2 linked regions of the Notamacropus eugenii genome follow. The protein of the gene in region 1 interacts with the protein of each later gene in a biochemical or structural test. Links are inferred from orthologs where the notes say so. Each region holds a gene or a part of one and is shown on either strand. Other genes may lie near its edges.

Region 1 (9,581 bases):
CCATCTGCTTCTTCAGGGATAAGGAAAGGGGAGAGATGTCTCTGGAAGAGGGCAGACTCTATTTGTTTAATCATCTCTTCCTCCCAGTCTAGGGTGGGCACATAGAATTGGGACCAGGAGGACACCAAGCTGCCACTTATCACCAGAAAAAAAACTTTCCTTCACTATGCAAAAGAGCTATGGTTTCACTCAGGAAAGATGCCTCCTCCCTGTCTTACTTAGATTACGGCCATCCTTGGGAATGGCTGTGGAGAAATCAATCTATCTTCTGGTGTCAGATTTCTATTAATGAACCTCTCTGGCTGGACTGGTCCTCTCATAGAATACAAGTCCCTTGAGGGTAACCAGAGTTTCATTTTTGTCTGTCTATCTCCATTGTCTTATATAGTGGCTGAAACAGTTTAATCAATGATTCCTGATGGATCAACTACTTGGGTATTGCTCCATAGCTTGATAGGGGCTCTTAGGGCTTGTAGCTGATCAGTGGAGCTTTTGGGCACCCAGGGTCACCTCTGGGCCATGACAGGATATCAGAGGAGGATTTTGGTGGAGTCAAGTCAACATGCACTTTTTCATATTAAGGACATAAATGTTATTAATATTAACATAAAATATTAATTAATGATCATTTTAGCAGCTGACATGAAATGAACAATTTGAAAAAAAGGCAGAGGGATATTTTCCACATTTCTCTGTAGCATCTTCAGATTGCAAATACAAACACTGAGCATGCACCTCCTACATATTTTTTCACAAAACTCTGTGAAGTAGGATGCACAAGTTTATTTTCTCCATTTTCAAGTGAACAAGCTTAAATAATGGAGTGTCTGCTACGTGTAAAGCAATGCAGGGAATGGAAATAAATGTTTTCCCATCAAGGAACTGAGAGATGAGGAAATCAGAGTCAGAGATTAGCCAGGATTACACAAGACTCAATCCTGGTGCTGGAGTTAAACTCAGGTCTCTCTTGGCTCCAGCGTGCAAGGGCTCCATTTGCTATATGAAGCTCCCTTAAGAAAGTTGGCATATTTTGACTGGGGTCAGTGAAAATGCTGGTCTGGTGTGATTAATAATGATAATTATCATAGTTGATGAGAGATAACATTTATACAGAAAGGTTTACAAAGTACTAGGGCAGCTAGTTGGAACAGTGGGCCTAGAGTCTGAAAGACACGAATTTAAATCTGGCTTCAAACACCCTGGGCAAGTTTTTGACCTCTCTCTGCCTCAATTTTGCAATGGACAGAATGCCTAGCCAAGACTCAGAAAGACTTATTTCCCTGAGTTCAAAACCAGCTGTGTGACCCTGGGGAAGTCACTTGATTCTGTTTGCCTCAGTTTCTTCATCTGTCAAATGAGGTGGAGAAGGATATGGCAAACCACTCCACTATCTTTTCAAACAAAACCCCAAGTGGGGGGTCATGAAGAGTCAACACAATTGAAATGACTGACGAAATAGTGTATGTTTTACTTGCCTGATCCTCACAACTACCCAAGCACATGATGGTCCCATTATTTTTTTTGGATTTGGATTTTTTTGGATTTGTCCAGGGGCAGGGGCAGGGGCAGGATTTGAACTCTGGTCTTCCTACTTCTAAATCCAGCGCTCTATCCATAGCACCACCTACCTGCACAAATGAACACCAACATAACTATATCGGAACCAAATTCAGGCAGATTTATAATTGTCAAAATCGGAGTGAACATTCAGTAATTGTCTTCATCAAGCAGACCTCCTTAAAGCTGAATTCTCAAGCAATGCTAGTAATGAGATCATTTACCCCTAGAAAAGAGTTTTCCAGTGCTAATGGTAACAGTTTGGGGACTGAACTTTATAGAACTCCAGGAATTGTTTCCCAGATCAGACAAGGGTATCTTTTCGGAAGAGATACCATAATCCAAGAGCTCATATTGAAATGAAGCAGGTGGGTAAACACAAAAATTGACATTTCAACAACACCAAGAATGTCCTCTTTCCACCTACCCCCATGAAGCCTTAATCGATCCTTTGCTAATTTTATAATCCTATGGCCCTATGATCCACTCAAGATGAATGAGCAGAATATTTTCAAAGATTCTGAAATACCACAGTTCCAGAATCATCCACAAAGTCCCCCACCCTGTGTTCACTGTCATTTGTACACCCCACCTTTCTAATGGAGATAAAGAGAGTTGGAAGACCATTTACACCCATTAAATGGCCCAGCAGGGCTGGTTTCTTATTATTTTATGCCCTGCCTCTTCAACAATTCCACCATGGGACCAAGTCCTGCTAAGGTTTGTCTTTTGAAGTTGTCATCTTGAACATACAGTGGTCTAGATGGCATGTGTCTCACCACAAGAGCCAGGTAAAATGGGAGGATCCTTTTTCTCTCTTCAGACAAAACATATGAATCACAGCTCTGCAACCCTCCAGATACATGAGAGCCCCTACTATTTTTTAATCCCTAAGGAAAAATACAGGCAAAATCAAGTCTTTTTTTTTTTTTTAATTTTGGCCAGCTGTGAGCTGTAGTTGCCATGGAGCTTTGCCATAAGGTGCCTACCTCTAGGAAAGTTCATTTACCCCTTGGGAGTATGTTTCCTACTTGGAGTGACCCCAATCCTAAACTTGTCTCATTGTTTACTGGGGCCTGGGTTGCTAGAGGTTCAGTTGTGTTGTAACAGGGGGCTGGCTGGCCTTTACCCTTGAAGGGATTCTGGGAGAGATGAATCCTAGGAGAAGGCCACCATCTCCAGAGTCTTCTTGCCCAGTTGTACCTCCCCATCCCCTCAGCCCAACCCTAGGGACAATAACAAGGCCTCGCCTCTCCTTATATAACTGTACCAGAGGTACAGTGGAGGTCCAACTGTCCTCGGCACCTCCACTGCTGTGGCCCTCCAGCAGCCCCCACTCCCCACCTCTATTCAGTTGCTTTGCAAATATTCCTGGTTACAGCTCTAGGAGGGAATTATGATAATAACAATAGCTAAGACAATATCAAGAACAGTAACAATAACAAAAACTTACATGTATTTAAGGCTCTAAGCTTTACCACTTTCCTTCATAACCCTGTGAGGTGATAATGCAACTATCCCTATTTTACAGACAAGTACATTAAGGCTCAGAAAAGTGGCAATTTTGCTCAAGGCCACCAGGACTGGAAGAGAAGAGAAAGGGAGAAAGCCTGGATTTGAATCATGCTCTTTGGATTCCTAGGGCACTGTAGAGTTTCTTCCATATGCCCCCCTTTAGCTGCCATGTTGACCAGTTCAGCCCCTGTGACTTCCTCCTGCCCAAGGGAAGAGCCTAAGTTCTGTGAGCAGTTTGCACCCCTGAGACCAGCAGAGCTGCTTGGGCCTAGTGACCCCACAGGTCAGATTCCTTGGCCACTTGGAGGAGATGAGGGTGGGGAAGGGGGCTGTGATCCTTACCAGTAAGGCCAGCTTCTTTCTGCTCCAGAGTCTGTAATAAGGACAGGAGAAATGAAGAAGGCCTTCTCTTCAGCTGGGGTCAGCAAACCCAGCGTCCAGTGCCTTTTTCTGAGAGCAAAGGAAAGAGGAAAGGACAAGTCTGGGCAGAACTCTGTAGTCACTGAACCAACTTTATCTTTCGTCATTGCTATGGCAAAGCCTGGATTCTAGTTTGGTTTTTTGAGTTTCTGTCCAGATGCCCTCCTCAGTCCTCAGCTGTTTCCTGGGCAGGAGCTTCAGGTATCTGAGGTGAGGAAAGAAAGGTAGGATTCATCGTGGAGTGGGGGAAGGGAGAGGGGAAGACTGGCTATTTTCTATTTGTCCCAGCAGTCCAAGAAAGCAGCAATTTAGAACAGGGAAAAATTGCCTGGTTGATGTTTTCAAAATGTTTCTCCCACTTAACGTGAACATATCGATACCATCTTCCTCTCCCTCCCCTTCCCACCTGCCAAACAAAGGGCCACAAAATAACAGACATTATCACATCACCTCCCTTCCAGAGATGACACATTGAGACAGAGATAGCAAAGTAGAACCCTGGGGGAGGGGCCAGGAGAGTGAATGCTATACATCCAGATTCTAGCCTTTCAATCCACTTTGAGTGACCTGGGAAAAGTCTCATCCACTACAGGCCTCAATTTCAGGAATGGAGGGCTCAGGTGAATCAGCCCCCCTCCTGAGCCAGTCTCCCAATATTGTACTTTGTTTCAGGGCAGCTCAGGACTTAGCTAGACAGAGGAAGGGTTGTTTACTTACATAGATGTGATCCTCCTCTTCATAGACCCACCAACTTTCTATCAGTAATTTTGTTACAGAACAATTTGGGGTAACCTCAGCTAGGGGTAGAATACGGTGGAATTGCTGGATGAGGATATGGAAATGGAATTTGGTTTCCCTCCCATGTGGTTTATTCTGGATTGGTTAATATAAAGGGTGTAGAGAGAAGACCCTCGAATTAGGGGTCAAAGGACAGAGGGTGGCAGAAAGACCCCTGCTTTTGAAGACAGATGACCCGGGTTCAATCCCAGCACTTCCATTAGCTATCCTTGGTCTCTCTTCCTAACCTCGTCATCCAGAGAAAGAGGGTGTTGGCCTGGATGGTCCCACTCTTCGATGCTATGCCATTGCCAATCAGTACGTTAGATCTGAAACCTGAGGCAGGTAGTTCCTCAGTCAGAGCTGCTCTGAAGCGCTTCTGTGCCATTCTAGTTCATGTTTTCCCATAAATATTTTCGAGACATCTACCCCAAAGTCTGATAAATCTGCCTCTGGGGCACTGGGGCACTCTCAGTCCATCACCTGCCTAAGTCCTTTTCTAGTCACACATTTCTATGAGGATATCATGGCGATCCTTGTCCCGGGTTCTTTGGGACCCCCAGGAGAAGGACACAGGAGACCTTCACGAAGAGCCAGAAAAGACACAGAAAATGAAAGTGCATTAATTAGCTTAAGATGTTAGGCAACTGTAAGAGGTAATCACTGCCATTAATTTTCTTCCATCGCTTTCGCGGTAAATTTCTACCCAGAGGAGTTGTGAAGCTAGCCATAGAGGGCTTAAGAAACTCATCGCCTTTCTTTCAGGACCCTTACGTCCTTCCCAGTGGGAACGTTGATTTCATAGCTTAAGTTTTCTGGAAAATGCGACCCGGGGGACAAATCTAGAACTACAAAAGTGTGTATATGTACGTATGACTGTGTCTGTGTGTCTGTGTGTCTGTGTCCGTGCATTCGTGCGCGCGCTACCGCGCGCGCGCGGGAGTCTCGGCCGGGGAAAGGAGAGTTTCTGGCTGCCAGGGCCCGGCTTCGCCCCTGCCCCCAGCCCTCAGGCTAGGCTGCGGAGCCGGGCGGCCGCAGTCCCCAGCCCCGTTGTCACTCACTCACTCGCGGAGCCTGGCGCCGCGCCCTGCGCGGCCGAGCCCGGAGGGCGGAGTTTGGGTGGACTGCTCAGCGGAGGCGGAGACTGTGCGGCTATAATAGGCTCCGAAGCCGGGCAGCCCAGCCAGAAGAGGAGGTGTGAGCGACGCCACCGAACCGGGTTCGAGAGCTGGGGCAAGGGCAGGGACGCAGAGTAGGCAACGCTTGATCGGGACATCCTGAGGGAGACCGAGAAGGTGAGAGGGGATTTGGAGCTGAAGATTTAAGGACTGGAAGGAGGCAGGATTTGAGCGTTGGAGAGGCCCTTAATTCTACTGGTACTTGTGTGTGTGTGTGTGTGTGTGTGTGTGTGTGTCTAAGTGTGTAAGGAGGGGGTCCTGCATTCCTCCCGGCTGGGGGGCTGTCCAAGGCTCTTCCCGGGGAAGGTGGGCCCGAGTCTCCGACTTGGGGTGGGGAGAAGGGGCCTCTTGTTGGAGCGCCCCCTCCCCACCGATTTCTCTTCTCTGGTCGCTACTGAATGGCCCCGGCCCGGTCCAGCCCAGGTCTCCGCGTAACCCTTTCTTTCTTAGCCTTCTTGGGACCCAAGGAGGAGGCTAGAGAGAAGGTACAGGGTGGGGGGGACTGGGATATCCCTAGAGCTCGTCCGTGTTAGGAAGGGGGTCGTAGCCCCGATTCGGGGACCCCGCCCGTTTCTTGCTTTCTCACTAGCATAGCTGGGGTGAGTGAGAAGGGCGAGGATCACCCCCCACCCTCGATGCAAACCGGGCCCGGGCTGGGGGTGGGAGCCGAGTTTCGGACTCCTCTGCTCCGGAGTGGGTGATGCCCGGCAGGTTAAAAGCTTAGGCCCGCCCCGGGGCGGAGATCCCCAGGCTGATCGATCGTGGTAGGTTCCGAATAGGATGTCTCGGGGTCCGGCGGCCGGTTCCTTGGTGGATCCCGGAGGAGTGGAGGATCCCAGCCGGCTACGGCGATGTCGCAGTTTCAGCGACAGGCACCACCCCTCTCCTCTTTGCTTTGGCACGGGAGACAGGGACCGAGGCCACCTCCCCTGTACCCCTCCCCGCCGGCCCGGCCCGGAATCCTTGTCCCCCGAGCCCCACCCCCAGGCTAGCCCCTTCTCCCGGCCCGCCTGGCCAACTCAGCTCCGGGTCTGGAGGGTGGTGTCGCCGGCCCCCTGGGACGTGCGGGGACTTGTCCCTTAAGGGAGGGGGAGCAGGAGGTGACTCACGGGTGACACGGAGACCCCGGGGAGTGGGGCGGGGTGAGGTCAGAGCCCCACCCCGGGGGGGAGGAGAGCTGAGTGGGGGGAGTGTGTGGAGAGTGCCATGGCTTCTGTGAGCCTCAGTCTCCGGAGCTACCCCCTAACAAAGGGAGGTGTGTGTGGGTATGGGGGGGGCGGAAGGGGCTGGCCCCCGAGAGGAGTTGAGGGGACAGCGGCCAGAGACCTCCCCTAGGTTTCGGCTTTTTGTATGTTTGCTCCTGGTCCAGGGAGGAGAAACCTAAGCTCCTGGAAAGCCGGGGCACCTGGGTGCCTGCAGTCTTTGTGCCTCGGTTATCCTTCTGGAAAATGGGCACAGTCATCCTCCCTTATTTTTCCGAGGCATTCTCGAGGTGGCGGTCTCTTTCGGAGATGGACGACTTCTTTCTCCTTGACATCCCCTTCTAGTATCTGGTCCCCTGCCGGCTTCTTGTCTCTGCCGCTGTGCGGGAGCCGGACCTTGCCCCTCCCAGACCCAGGGGGGCGGGGACCGAGGGAGGAGTGGGGAGTCTGGGGAGCCTCGCTACCCTTTTGCTAGTGAGACTTGGGGATGTTCCATGCTGGGCCCACTCTCCCCAGCCCCTAGGGCTGCCGGTGACCCAGTGACCAGAGCGGGGGGGTGGTAATGGAGGCAGCGAAGGCACCTTTCCTAGTTGGGTATTTCCGGTGTGTGTATGCAAACGACGAAGGCGTGTGTGTTTGTGTACTAGGGCTCCTGGCTTCAGATCCTGGCCAGCCTGGAGAACGTGCGCACGCACACACACACACACACACACACACACACACACACACACACACACACGGAGGTCACGTGTGTGCCCGCCCAGCAAATACTTGCAGAATTGCTTTGCTGTGCACTGCACTGAATTGGATACTTTTAAGTGGGCGGCGATGCCCAGATCCTCCGCAGGCCCCCTCCTCCTCCCCCTCCGCTCCAGGCACGTCGCGAAGAGTAGCGGGGTGTTGTTAGTCCTGGGGGTTTGGCTTCCCGCGGCTATTTTTCTTGCCCAGTTAGCCAGTTGTCTCCTGGGGTGGCTCGGGTGCGGAGCTGGGGCCGGGGCACAGATGTGCTCCCGTGTCTCCCGGCCGTGTCCGTCTTTGTCTGTCCGTGCCTCTGCCTCGCTCTGCCTTTGTTTGTCTGTGTCTGTGCGGAGTGAGAGAGGCTTATTTCCCAACAGTGTCATGTGCAGTTTCGGAAGCCCGGCTGGCTCAGCGTGACGTGTTCACATCCCTCTCCCACCCCTCCACCCTCCTCTCCCCCTGCCCCTCCCCAGGAGCCTGTGACGTGCCTCCCTCCAAGTTTTGGCGGGCTGGCAGTTCAGGAAACTGACTCACTACAACTTCTCCCTTCTGGACTGTCCCGCTGCCCTAGGCACCAGAGCAGGCTGCAGAAGTGGGGGGTGGAAGGGTGAGGGGGGGGATTTCCTAGAGGCAGGCGCCCCCTCCTGGACCAGGGGCTGCATAGTCTAGCCACCCTACCCCAGCATTTCTCAAAAGAAATTTCCCAAATGACTCTTGCCTAGGGGCCTTTGTTTCCTGTGTCTCACTCCCAGAGAACCTTCTGTCCTGAGCTCAGCAGGCATGTACACCCAGCCAGCATTTCATCACGCACTCTACTCCGGTCTTTTCTCCTGATTTGCTCCACTTTGCAAAAATAACCCTTTCCTTACCAGGCTGATGCCTGGAATTTGTAGACTCTAGAGCTGATCAGTAGAACAACATTTATTAAACACCTATCAGTCAGATTTTAGTAAGAGTTTAGTAAGTGCCTACCACATCCCAGGCACTAAGTTGTAGGCACTGGAGATACCCTGCCCTCAAGGAGCTAGAACAATCCCTTCATTTTATTAGAGTGGGATATGTCGCTGCTGTTTAGCCATAGCAGACTCTCCCTGACCCCATGTGGGGTTTTCTTAGTAAACATCCTGGAGTGTTTGCCATCTCCCTTTCCAGCTCATCTTACAGACAAGGAAACTGAGGCAAACGGGGTTAAGTGACTTGCTCAGGGTCATCCAGCTAGTAAATGTCTGAGCTCACATCTGAACTCAGATCTTCTTGACTCTAGGCCCAGCACTATGTCCATTGTACCACCTACCTGCCGGCAGAGTAGTACCGAGCACTGAGACCTTAAAAGGGAAGTAAGTTGTTCAAGGTCACGTAACTAATAAATGTCTGAACTGGGATTCAGACTCAAAGGCACAAGTTGGGATGGGGCATTGTTGCTCTGTAACTTCTCCCTGGTGTAAAACATTTGTTCAGCAATGACATTGTGTCAACTTCTCTGATGTTGCCACTTAACAAAGTCCTAGTTGTAGCCACCTGACAAGCCATCCTTGGATTATAGGGACACTGAAAATAAACCCTCTGCTCCTTTTCCCCAATCTTACTCCATTCTAATCCTGTCCTGGGCAGGGAAGGATGGGAGGGAGGGTGAGAAGGAATGGGGAAGGTCAGCACAGGATATATTTCCCATCTTGAGAGATGGGAATGGAATATGCTGGAGAGTGAAGCTCTGTTTACTGAGAGAGTGGAGTGAGTGGAGGAGCCCTATTCTGGTTTTGTCATCTTTGTAACCCTGAGGCAAAATGTTTTCTTTCCCTGATCTTCTGTCTCTCCATCTTTAATGGGAAGGAGTTGGACTGGAAAAATTCTAAGATCTCTTCCATTTCTTCCATGGTATGATTCCATGAATATAGCAGTAGGTGGGACATAGGCTTGGCACAGAGTCTGGCACACAGTAGGCACTTAATGAATGTTTGTTGATTGGATGACTGACTCAAGCTCCCCCTTTCCCTGGGGAGGGGGGTTAACTCAGTGGGTATTTGTCCCTTGGGTAGACACAAGCCTGGACTTGCTGTCCTAAAAACAGACTTCCTGCCCAGTCTTGCCAATAACCCCCAGAAGCCTGGCTGATGTCAGGATATGAAGTAGGGCAGGGGCAAGTGCCAAGGTCACCATAAATAGGTAAGCTTATTTTTTCTGGTCTCCTTTGACA
Region 2 (10,194 bases), on another chromosome or scaffold:
TATTCATAGCTTACTCTTATAATTGCCGGCTTTTCTCTATCCTCATCTTTCTGGATCTCTCTGCAGCCTTGGACTATGGATCACCCTCTTTTTTCTTTTTTAAATTCAACAAATTTTTTTCTTAAATTTTTTTTTTCCAATTACATGAAAAAGTTTTTAATATTAATTTTTTTTTTAAATTTTGAGTTCCAAACTATCTCCCTTCCTCTCTTCTTCCCCTCTCATTGAGAAGGCAAGTAATTTAATATAGGTTAAACCCATGCAGTTATGTAAAATATATTTCCATAATCATTCTGCGAAAAAAACACATTAAAAAAACTAAGAAAAATAAAGTTTTTAAAAGGTATGCTTCTATTTGCATTCAGACTATATCAGTTCATTTTCTGGAGGTGGATAACAATTTTTATCATGAGTCCTTTAGAGCTGCCTTGAATCCTTGTGTTTCTGAGGATAGCTAAGTCATTCACAGTTGATCATTGCACAATGCTATTGTTACTGTGTACAATGTTCTTCTGGTCCTGCTAACTTCATTTCGCATCAGTTCATGTAAGTCTTTCCAGGTTTTTCTGAAAGCATTCTGCTTATCATCTCTTATATCATAATAATATTCCATTACAATATACCACAACTTGCTCAGCCATTTCCCAGTTGATGGATATCCTGTTAATTTCCAGTTCTTTGTCACCAAAAAAGAGCTGCTATAAATAATTTTTTATAACAGTAGGTCCTTTTCCATTTTTTTGGTCTTTTGGTATACAGACCTAGTAGTAGTGGTGATGCTGGGCCAAAGGGTGTGCAGTTTTATAGCTCTTTGACCTAGTTCCAAATTGTTCTCCAGAATAGTTGGATTAGTTTACAACTCCATCAACAATGCATTGCTGTTCCAATTTTCTCACATCTCCAACATTTATCATTTTCCCTTTTTTGCCATTTTTCTTTTCTGTAATGGTAGTCAATTTGATAGGTGTGAGGTGGGTACCTTTGAGTTACTTTAATTTATATTTCTCTAGTCAATAGTGATTTAGAGCATTTTTTCTTATGTTTATAGATAGCTTTGATTACTTCATTTGAAAATTCACCCTTCATATATTTGCCAAGTGAGTAATGGCTTTTATTTTTTGGCTCAGTTCCCTATCTTTTTGAGTAATGAGGCCTTTATCACAGAAACTTGCAGCAAATTCCCTCCCCACCCCAGTTTCCTGTTTTCCTTCTAATTTTGGCTATATTCAGGGTTTTTTTTATGAGTACAAAACCTTTTTAATTTCATGTAATCAGAATTATCTCTTTTGCTTCCCATGATACTCTCTATTTCTTGTTTGGGCACAAATTTATCCCTTATCCATAGATCTAACTGGTTCATTTTCCCATGCTCTCCTAATTTACATATGATATAACCCTTGACCATCTGAATCATCTATCCATTTTGACCTTATCTTAGTATTCTGGTAAGATGCTGATCTCTGCCTAGTTTTTGCCAAGCTGCTTTCCAGTTTTCCCAGCAATTTTTGCCAAATGTTGAGTTCTTATTCCAAATGCTTGTGTCTTTAGGTTTGTCAGATACTGTAGGTGTTGTTTGTCCTTCATTGTCAAAGAGGACCATGACATGAGGGAGGAGAAGCCATGACATGCAAGTGAACTGGATTGGAGGGAAGTAGGGCTGGCAAAATCACCAGCCTCACTTTCTCCTCCAGAGTCATCTGGGTCCAGTGGCAAGATATAGATCAGGACAACTGAAAAAGGCCCAGGATGCAGTGGGGGACCTTGGCCTTTTCTTTTTTCTTTTTGCTATTATAATGTTATTATACTATTTTAAAGTTTATTTTTAGTTTTCAACATTCTTTTCCACAAATTTTAATTTTTTCCCTCCCCCTTCCCCAAGATGGCATGCAATCTGATATAGGCTCTACATATACTATTATCTACATATACTAATGTCCTATAACATATTTCCACATTAGTCATGTTGTATAGAAGAATTGGAATGAATGGGAGGAACCATGAGAAAGGAAAACAAAAGAAAAATAGTCTGCTTCACTCTGCATTCAGAATCCACAGTTCTTTCTCTGCATGTGGATGGCATTTTCTGTCATTAATCCTTTGGACTTGTTTTAGGAGCTTGCATTGCAGAAAAAAGCTAAGTCTATCAAAATCAGTCATCATGTACTATGGCTGTTACTGTGTACAATGTTCTCCTGGTTCTGCTCACTTCACTCAGCATCCATTCATATAAGTCTTTGCAAGTTTTTCTGAAGTCTGCCTGCTCATCATTTCTTATAGTACAATAGTGGGAGCAGAAAAGGCCTGGGGAAGAGAACAAGGAAACGGAGCTTATCTCTTTATCCCAGTGGCTTAGGAGAAGGTTAGTGGAGTCCAATTAATATGTGGAATCCTGGGTTTCAGCGTCATAAATGTTGAGGTCAGATGTTGGGAGAGTGGTTCGGGTGGGAAAGAATTCACTTAGACCTTCTTTGTAGCCTTTGGGAGTTTTATTACATGAAGCAGCATGGGTCTGATGATAAAATCTCCAAATGGCTACGGAGAAAGTCTAAGTGAATTCTTTCTCACCCAAACTGCTCTCCCAAAATCTGATCTCAACACTGCCCTTTAGATGTGATTTCCATCTCCCTTGAATCTTTACAGCATGTTACCTCTTTAATAGCAGTTATCATCCCATTTTGACATTTATATTTTTCAGTTGTATGATTGGACTACTTTAGAAGTCCATTGATGGAAATTATCAGCATAGTCGATAGAATACTGGTCTGGGATATAGGAAGATGTGAGTTTGAATTGTTTCATTTATTTACTAGCTGTTTAGACACTAGGCAAATCACTTAACTTCTTCCAGTATGTTTTTCTTGAATAACTGACACTCAACCTCAAAGGCTGCTTCTGAGGATCAAATGAGATAATGTATGCAAAGCCCTTTGCAAACCTTAAAGCTCTCAGTAAAGGACTGCTATTACTATTCACCAGAGTATGCACATAAGAGTTGAACTAGCTACTTAAGATGTTAATGAACAATAATTAGCCAACATTTATGGCATACTTTAGAGTTTGCAAGGGGCTTTACATATTATCTCATTTGCTCCTAAACTCTAAGAGGTAGGGATGATATTATTATTATTATTCCCATTTTACAGAAGAGGAAACTGAAGCAGGAAGAAATTAAGGGATTTGCTTAGGGTCACACAGCTCAGTGTCTGAGATGGGGTTCAAACTCAGGCCTTATTATCTTATTGAATCAAATAATATAATATTGCATATCTAAATGACACTTAGAGGTAAAAAAATCAGTTTTTTTCCTGTAATTATTTTTATTTAAAAAAATTTTACTTTGACATTCATTTTTTTAATATTTTGAGTTCCATATTCTCTCCCTCCAGCCCCTCCCCTATCTTTTGAGAAGGCAAGCTATATGATTTCAATTATAGATGTGGTCCCGCAAAACATATTTCCATATTCAAATAAGTTTCAAAAGATCCGAAAAAAGAGGTGGGTTCTCCACAGGAGTGTGAGAGAGTCAGCTCCCACCTGCTTGGGGGAGCCTCTTGTCAAATTTTCAGTATAGGCATTTACACTTCTGAAATTTGCAAAGACTACAAATTAGGGCTTCATTTCTTCTTCTTTTGTTAATTGTCTAGGCTTAAGAAAGTAATAGAAAAACTGTCAATGATACAGATTGAACTTTTAAAGTCTCTCCAGGTACATTCCTGTCCCCTCCCCCTACTTCAGGAAATTTACAGAAGCCATGCATGTATACATACACACATCAGCCTCTACACAAGACTGGTCCAGTGTCACTGCCCAAATACTTAGGCTGGATGGACCACAACTTTTTTTTCTTCCATATTTATTCATTCATTCATTCATTTATTTTTCAACATTCATTTTCACAGATTTTGAGTTCCAAATTTTTTCTCCCCTCTCCCCAAGACAGCATGCAATCGGATATAGGCTATACATGTACAATCATATTAAACATATTTTGACACTAGTCATGTTGTGAAAGAAGAATCAGGACAAAAGGGAAAAACCACAAGAAAGAAAAAAAAGAGAAAATAATATGCTTCAATCTTCATTCAGACTCCACAGTTTTTCTCTGAATGTGGATAGCATTTTCCATCATGAGTCCCTTGGAATTGTCTTGGATTGTTGCATTACTGAGAAGAGCTAAGTATGTCAAAGTTGGTCATCATGCAATGTTGCTGTCACTGTGTGCGATGTTCTCCTGGTTTGGATCACTTCACTCAGCATCAGTTCATGTAAGTCTTTCCAGGATTTTCTGAAATCTGCCTGTGCATCATTTCTTATGGAACAATAGTATTCCCTTACATTCAGATGATGTGGATATAACATCAATGCCCTAAGGGTTAAAAAGAATATTAAGAGTTGCTTTTCCAATACTTTGTGAAGACCCTCCTGAGGCAGGGTTGGAGCTCATTCTGTAACCTATCCTGTAACTTGAGGGCATCCTAAAGTCCCTTTCCCCTCATCCTGTGTCATAAATTTCTTCTTTTGTAAGCAGCTATCTCCTTCATCCTGTGCTATAAATTCTCCCTTATCCTTAATCTTCAACCATCATAAATCCTTAAAACTACATCATCCTGAACATCTATAGACTTTCTGTCTACATATGCCTAGTTCTTCAAAAATAAGTACCCTTTTTTACTTAGCCTCAAGGCCACAGTAAAAAAGGTCCACATCCATGTATAGCTTTCATGTAATAAAGCTCCCATTAGTTAAGAAAAAAATCACCTAAGTGAATTCTTTCACACCTGAACTACTCTCCCAAATCTGACTTCTTGTTCAGCCATTCCCCGACTGATGGACAGCTCTCAATTTCCAATTCTTGGCCACCACAAAAAGAGTTGCTATCGATATTTGTGTATAAATAAGTCCTTTACCCTTTTTTAAAAAACAATCTCTTTAGATCCCGATCTATTGGTGGTATTGCTGGATCAAAGGGTATGCAGTTAGGACCTCCTGGGCACAGTTGGCTGGTTGGGTTTACAACTCTTCCAGCAATCCACTAGTGTTCCATTTCCCCACATCTTCTCCAACATTTATCACTTTCCTTTTCCATCATATCAGCCAATTTTACAAGTGTGAGGTGGTGCCTCAGAGCTGCTTTAATGCGCATTTCTTTAATCAGCAGTGGATTTGGAGCATTTTTTCCTATGACTACGGATAGCTTTCATTTTTTCCTCTGAAAATTGGCTGTTCACGTCCTTTGACAGTTTATCGATTGAGGAACGATCTGTATTCTTATCAATCTGACCCAGTTTTCCAGATACTTTAGAAATGCGGCCCTTTTCAGAGAGCGTGGCTGTAAAAAGCGTTTCCCAGACTTCTGCTTCCCTTCTGATCTTGGCTGCATCGTGTCCGTCTCTTTAGGGGCCCTTGCTGGCTCGTCCATAAGGCTTTTTACGCCTCAGCTGCGTTTACCGGGATCTCTTCCTTTCTCAAGGAGATGCTGGGAAAGGGCGCAGGGAGTCGTTGGGGGAGGGGCACCGCGGCCCACTGCTTCAGTGCGGTAGAGGAGGACACAAAAGGCGCTGCGCGCTAGCTCCGCCAGCCTCCAGCTAGGAAAGGAGGACGTCGAGATCACCTCCCCTCCCCTCCCCTCGAACCCACACCATTTCTGCGCACGCGTGCTCCCTTGCCACCACCCCCGCCTCCCTTGCCTCTGGGCTCCTAGGCCTGGCGAGAGAAGAGGTCCAGCTCCTGGAGGCTATTGGTTGAAATTCGGGCCAATGACGGCGGGCGTTGTTCGTTTGCGCCGGTCTGTGGCGTGAGGAGCGGCGGCGCTTTAGGCCTTGAAAGGTTTCTCCTCGTCTCTGTGGTGGCTGGGCGCCATGAGCTCTATCGGGACCGGGGTGAGTCTTGTGTTCTCCGCGCGGATCAGGGGAACAGGACCGAGGGGGAAGCAGAGGCCGCTCAGAGCGCACCCTCCGCCCCTGCACCACCTCCGGCCCTGCCCGCCGGTTTCTCCTTTGGGAAAGACGCGTCCCCCACCGCGGGACCCCCGCCCCCCGCCCCAGAAGCCTCCGAAAACGTGTCCTAGAGTCCCGGATCCTAGGAAACCGCGCCCCAGGAGCGTGATGTTCCTGACCCCGGCGGCCCAGCGTGCGCCGAGGGCCCGGGGCCTCCCTAGCTTTGCCGAGTCATTTTCTTTAGCCGGCTGAGGAAACCGAAAGTAGTGAAGGCCCAGCGCGCGGGCCGGATTGGCGGGAGGGGAGAAGGAAGGGTTGAGGGGGCCAGGAGACGCCTTATCTCTTCCCAAGCCTGGAGGCTGGTGGGATCCCGGGCCCCTGAGACTCGAGTGACCCGAGGCCCCTGGCTGAAGGGACCCGAGGCCTCGGCGCGCTGCTGAGTCACGGGGCTCCTTTCGTGGAATTCTGCATTTCCGCCCTAATCCTTCCCCAAAATAAAGAAACAGAAACCCAGGCTCCGAAGAAGGCCCCAAAGAGTCCTGCCCTTGTGCCGGAACTCTGAAAGATGATCGTTAGGAACAGAGAAATCTGGCTGAGAGCTGTTCTTTTGGTGGTGGTTGTTACACTAGGCTTTTTTTTTTCAAGCTTGCGCTCTCCTCCCCTCCCCCGTAGTCCTCTTTACGAGATAGAGTGTGGAGACAGACTGTGCAAGACAACGGGTGTTTTATGCTTTGTAAAGCCTGGTTCTAAATTCAAGTTACTTCACTTGGCAGTTAGGCTTTAATACGGTAAAAAAAAAAAAAAGTCAGCGTCCGGTAGCTAGTTTTTCTCCTGGGAATTATTTAACTTTCCTACCTTCCGTCTCAGCTAAATTCTGTGCCTCTGCTAACTTCCTGTGATGTATATGCATTTGTTAAAAGTGAGATCCCTAACCCTAATGTTTATCTATCGCTCCCTAGCAGATACACACTCTCTCTCTCTCTCTCTCTCTCTCTCTCTCTCTCTCTCTCTCTCTCTCTCTCAAGTTACCAGGAGGAAAAATAGTTGAGTTTTTTTCATGGAAACTTCTAAGACAATGCATAATCCATAAGTACCACTTTTAAATTTTACAAAGTGTTCCCTGACACCATCCCTGTATGGTTAATATTGATTGCAAGCATCATTCTGACTTTCAGAGATGCAAGTGCTACCCAAGGTCATTACAATCCAGGTCTTTCTTGATTTCACCGGCCACGTTCTTTATGCTTTGCCACACTGCCTTTCTTACCCCTTGTCTTTTCATTTCATTGTCACCACTCCACTTCATGTTCTCTTTCTCTCTTGCTCAGAATGTTACAAAAGCATGCTATTTCCTCTAGTCCCAAACACATGCTGCTGATTGATTGATCTCGTTTAAAAATTACTGCCCTGTTCACTGCCTGTGATGCCCAAAATTACTGGCCTTCAGATGGGTAGGCCAAGAATATTTATTAAGTGAATTCAATATATAAGTTAATGAAATACAATTTTGGAGATACAAAGATAGAAGTGAAACAGGCTCTCATCTCCAGGAGCTTACATTCTATCAGGTATAAACATTTATGAAGATAAGTAATATGGTCTACACAAGGCATTTAAAAGCTACTGGGAATTCCAAAAGGTGGAGAATAGGAGGAATAGCATTCTAGGAATGGGGGGGACTACTTGTGCCAAAGGCATGGTGATAGAATGTTATATATAGGAAACAGCAAGAGACTAGTTTGTTTAGAATTTAAATTGATATATGAGGGAAAGTGTTATGAAATCAGTCTGGAATGACAGGTTAGAGAACTTGGTTATGGAGGGCTTTAAATGCCAGAGAAGAATTTGTATTTGATCTTAGAAAATATAGGAGCCACTGGCTCTTGAGCAAAGGGAATGATGTGATCGTACCTATGCTTTAGGGATATTACTCTGTCAGTTGTGCAGAGGATAGATTGTAGAAGTGGAAGACTGAAGGCAGGGGGAGACCGAATAGGAGAATATTGCAGGAGATCAGGTAAGAGGTTACGGATGAGGGCCTAAACAAGGGTAATTGTCACAGTCTTAGATTTAGGGCTGGAAGGTACCTTAGAGACCAGCTGGTCCAACCCCTTTCATTCACAGATATGGAAATTGAGGTTCAGAGAAAAGTCATTCAGAAAATGATCGTAGCTAGCATTCATATATTGCTTTAACGTTTGCAAATTACTTTACATGTGTCATTTCATTTGGTCAACAAAACAATGCTGTGAGGTAGGTGCTAGTATTTATTTTACAGATAAAGAAATTGAGACAGATTACAGGACTTGCTCAGGGTCACACAGTGTCAGAGGCTGGATTTGAACTCAAACCTTACAAATCTAATGTGCTTTCCCACTGTACCACATGAATGAAGAGATGGGCATGGATATGAGAGAGATGGAATTAAAATGGACAGAGCTTGGTAATTGATTAAATGTTGGGGGATAAGACAACAATAATTGGAGTCTTATCCTATACCTTTTCACCCTCAACCACTCACCCTATACCAGTCAACTGTTACATTTCCCTTGTCCAGGAATCTTGCACTTCATGCCCTTGTAATCCTTGTGATTTAATCATTTAAAACTCTTACCTTAAGTACAGATTTAGGCACTAATCTCTACCTTTGCCATCTTTCCATTATACCCTTTAAAATCCCCAATAGTAATAATAAGGACCCCTTAATCCTAGATCTTTTATTTCTGGTCCTTACAGAAACATATCTTTCTCCTGAAGATGCCTCATTAGCCCCTTGCAACACTCTCTGATGCTGGTTGTTTCTTTTTTCATGCCACTTGATGTGGCAGGAGGAAAAGTTAGTGTAGTCCTTATTCTCCACTATTACTTGTAGATCCCCCTTTGTGCCACCATCACTTGTAACTCATCTTCATTTTGAAATTCACTCCATATGTATCATACATTAGAGTAGACCATATCATCTAAAACTGTTGATCTTAAGTTCTATAATTCCCTTCTTTAGTCATAATCTAATGTCCTTCATATCACCATCTGTGGAGGGAGAGCCAATGTGAAGGAGTAGCAGGAAGCAGTAAAGCAAATGTCCCTCCACCCCTTCCCCCACAAAAAAAACCTCCTCTAAACAGATCTAGAAAATGAGCCAGACCAAGTTCTGATAGGGAAATAAAGAAAAGTCACAGTGAGTCATTTTTTTCAGTTTAGATTGGCACAGAGACACAGAGATTTGTGAACATTGGGATTGGGTTGGGCCAAATATGCAGCAAATGGAACATTCCAGTGCCTAGGGAAAGGCTGTCCACCAAGGTAAGCAGAGGTCCTAGACCCATACTGGGATACCCAACTGGGACAGCTACCAACTAGCATCTTGTTGCTCTCTGCGCAGTTTCAGGTCACAGATCTAGGACAAACAGGAAAAGATACATTGGCACAAGAAAGGCACCTCTTTGCCTGTCTTCCTGACTCCAGGTGCTACCAGCTGCCTCTAATGACAATTACAGCCAACATCTAGAATTTCCAGTCAAAGAAAAAATACTATAATCAATCTGCCTCAGTCCTCCTAAATTACTTTGCCTTCACCACCACTTCCAGTGCTTTCATCCCTCTTTGTCTCCACTCACTGGCCTCACTTTTTTTCTCTCATAGTCTTGACCCTATAGTTAATCAGTTTAGCAAAGCACTGTCTTCCACTCTTTCCCTCTTTGTTTACTTTCTCTTGTTTGTATTCTACCAGTACTCAGCTTTGGATAATTCTCTTGTAAGCTTTTTGCTTCTACTCTTGAACCGTCAGGTAGTATTAGGAGTTCCATAACCCCATTCACCAAATCCATTATAAATTCATGTTGTTGTTGAGTCATTTCAGTCCTGGCCGACATCGGTCTTTGTGACCCAGTTTGAGGTTTTCTTGGCAAAGGTACCGAGAGACTATTCTGGAATTAGGGTGTGGGTCACTGCTATTCTCTCATTGCTACACTATCGTAATACTTGTATTCTTCCCTAACTGACTTCCTATCGTGTTCTGTAGCAGTTTTTCTCAAACATTTCAAGTACCCACTGCCCCCCCTTTCCTTCAGCAGATAACCTAATTTCTAACTTTACTGAAGAAAATCAAGGTCATTTGTCAAATTTTATTCATCTTTTCTACTTCATATCTTAAAGCCTTTATAAAACTTCCTTTCTTACAAACTTTCTTTCCCTCTTCTCAAAGCCAATCCTTTTGATCATCTGTGCCCTTAGTCAGATCCCTTTCTAATTCATCAGG

What was found. The genes of interacting proteins can lie anywhere in the genome.
Region 2: the proteins of CDKN1A (region 1) and PSMA3 form a complex in vitro, tested with the Homo sapiens proteins (4 studies listed by BioGRID). The link is inferred for Notamacropus eugenii from reciprocal best matches to the Homo sapiens genes CDKN1A and PSMA3.

Annotation. Positions count from the first base shown.
Region 1 is NC_092873.1:94,100,876-94,110,456, forward strand, and holds the start of CDKN1A (cyclin-dependent kinase inhibitor 1), read left to right. Parts: upstream 1-5,226; 5' UTR 5,227-5,564; intron 5,565-9,581. UniProt on the Homo sapiens protein: Plays an important role in controlling cell cycle progression and DNA damage-induced G2 arrest. Involved in p53/TP53 mediated inhibition of cellular proliferation in response to DNA damage.
Region 2 is NC_092872.1:301,067,511-301,077,704, forward strand, and holds the start of PSMA3 (proteasome subunit alpha type-3), read left to right. Parts: upstream 1-5,620; 5' UTR 5,621-5,858; coding exon 5,859-5,879; intron 5,880-10,194. UniProt on the Homo sapiens protein: Component of the 20S core proteasome complex involved in the proteolytic degradation of most intracellular proteins. This complex plays numerous essential roles within the cell by associating with different regulatory particles.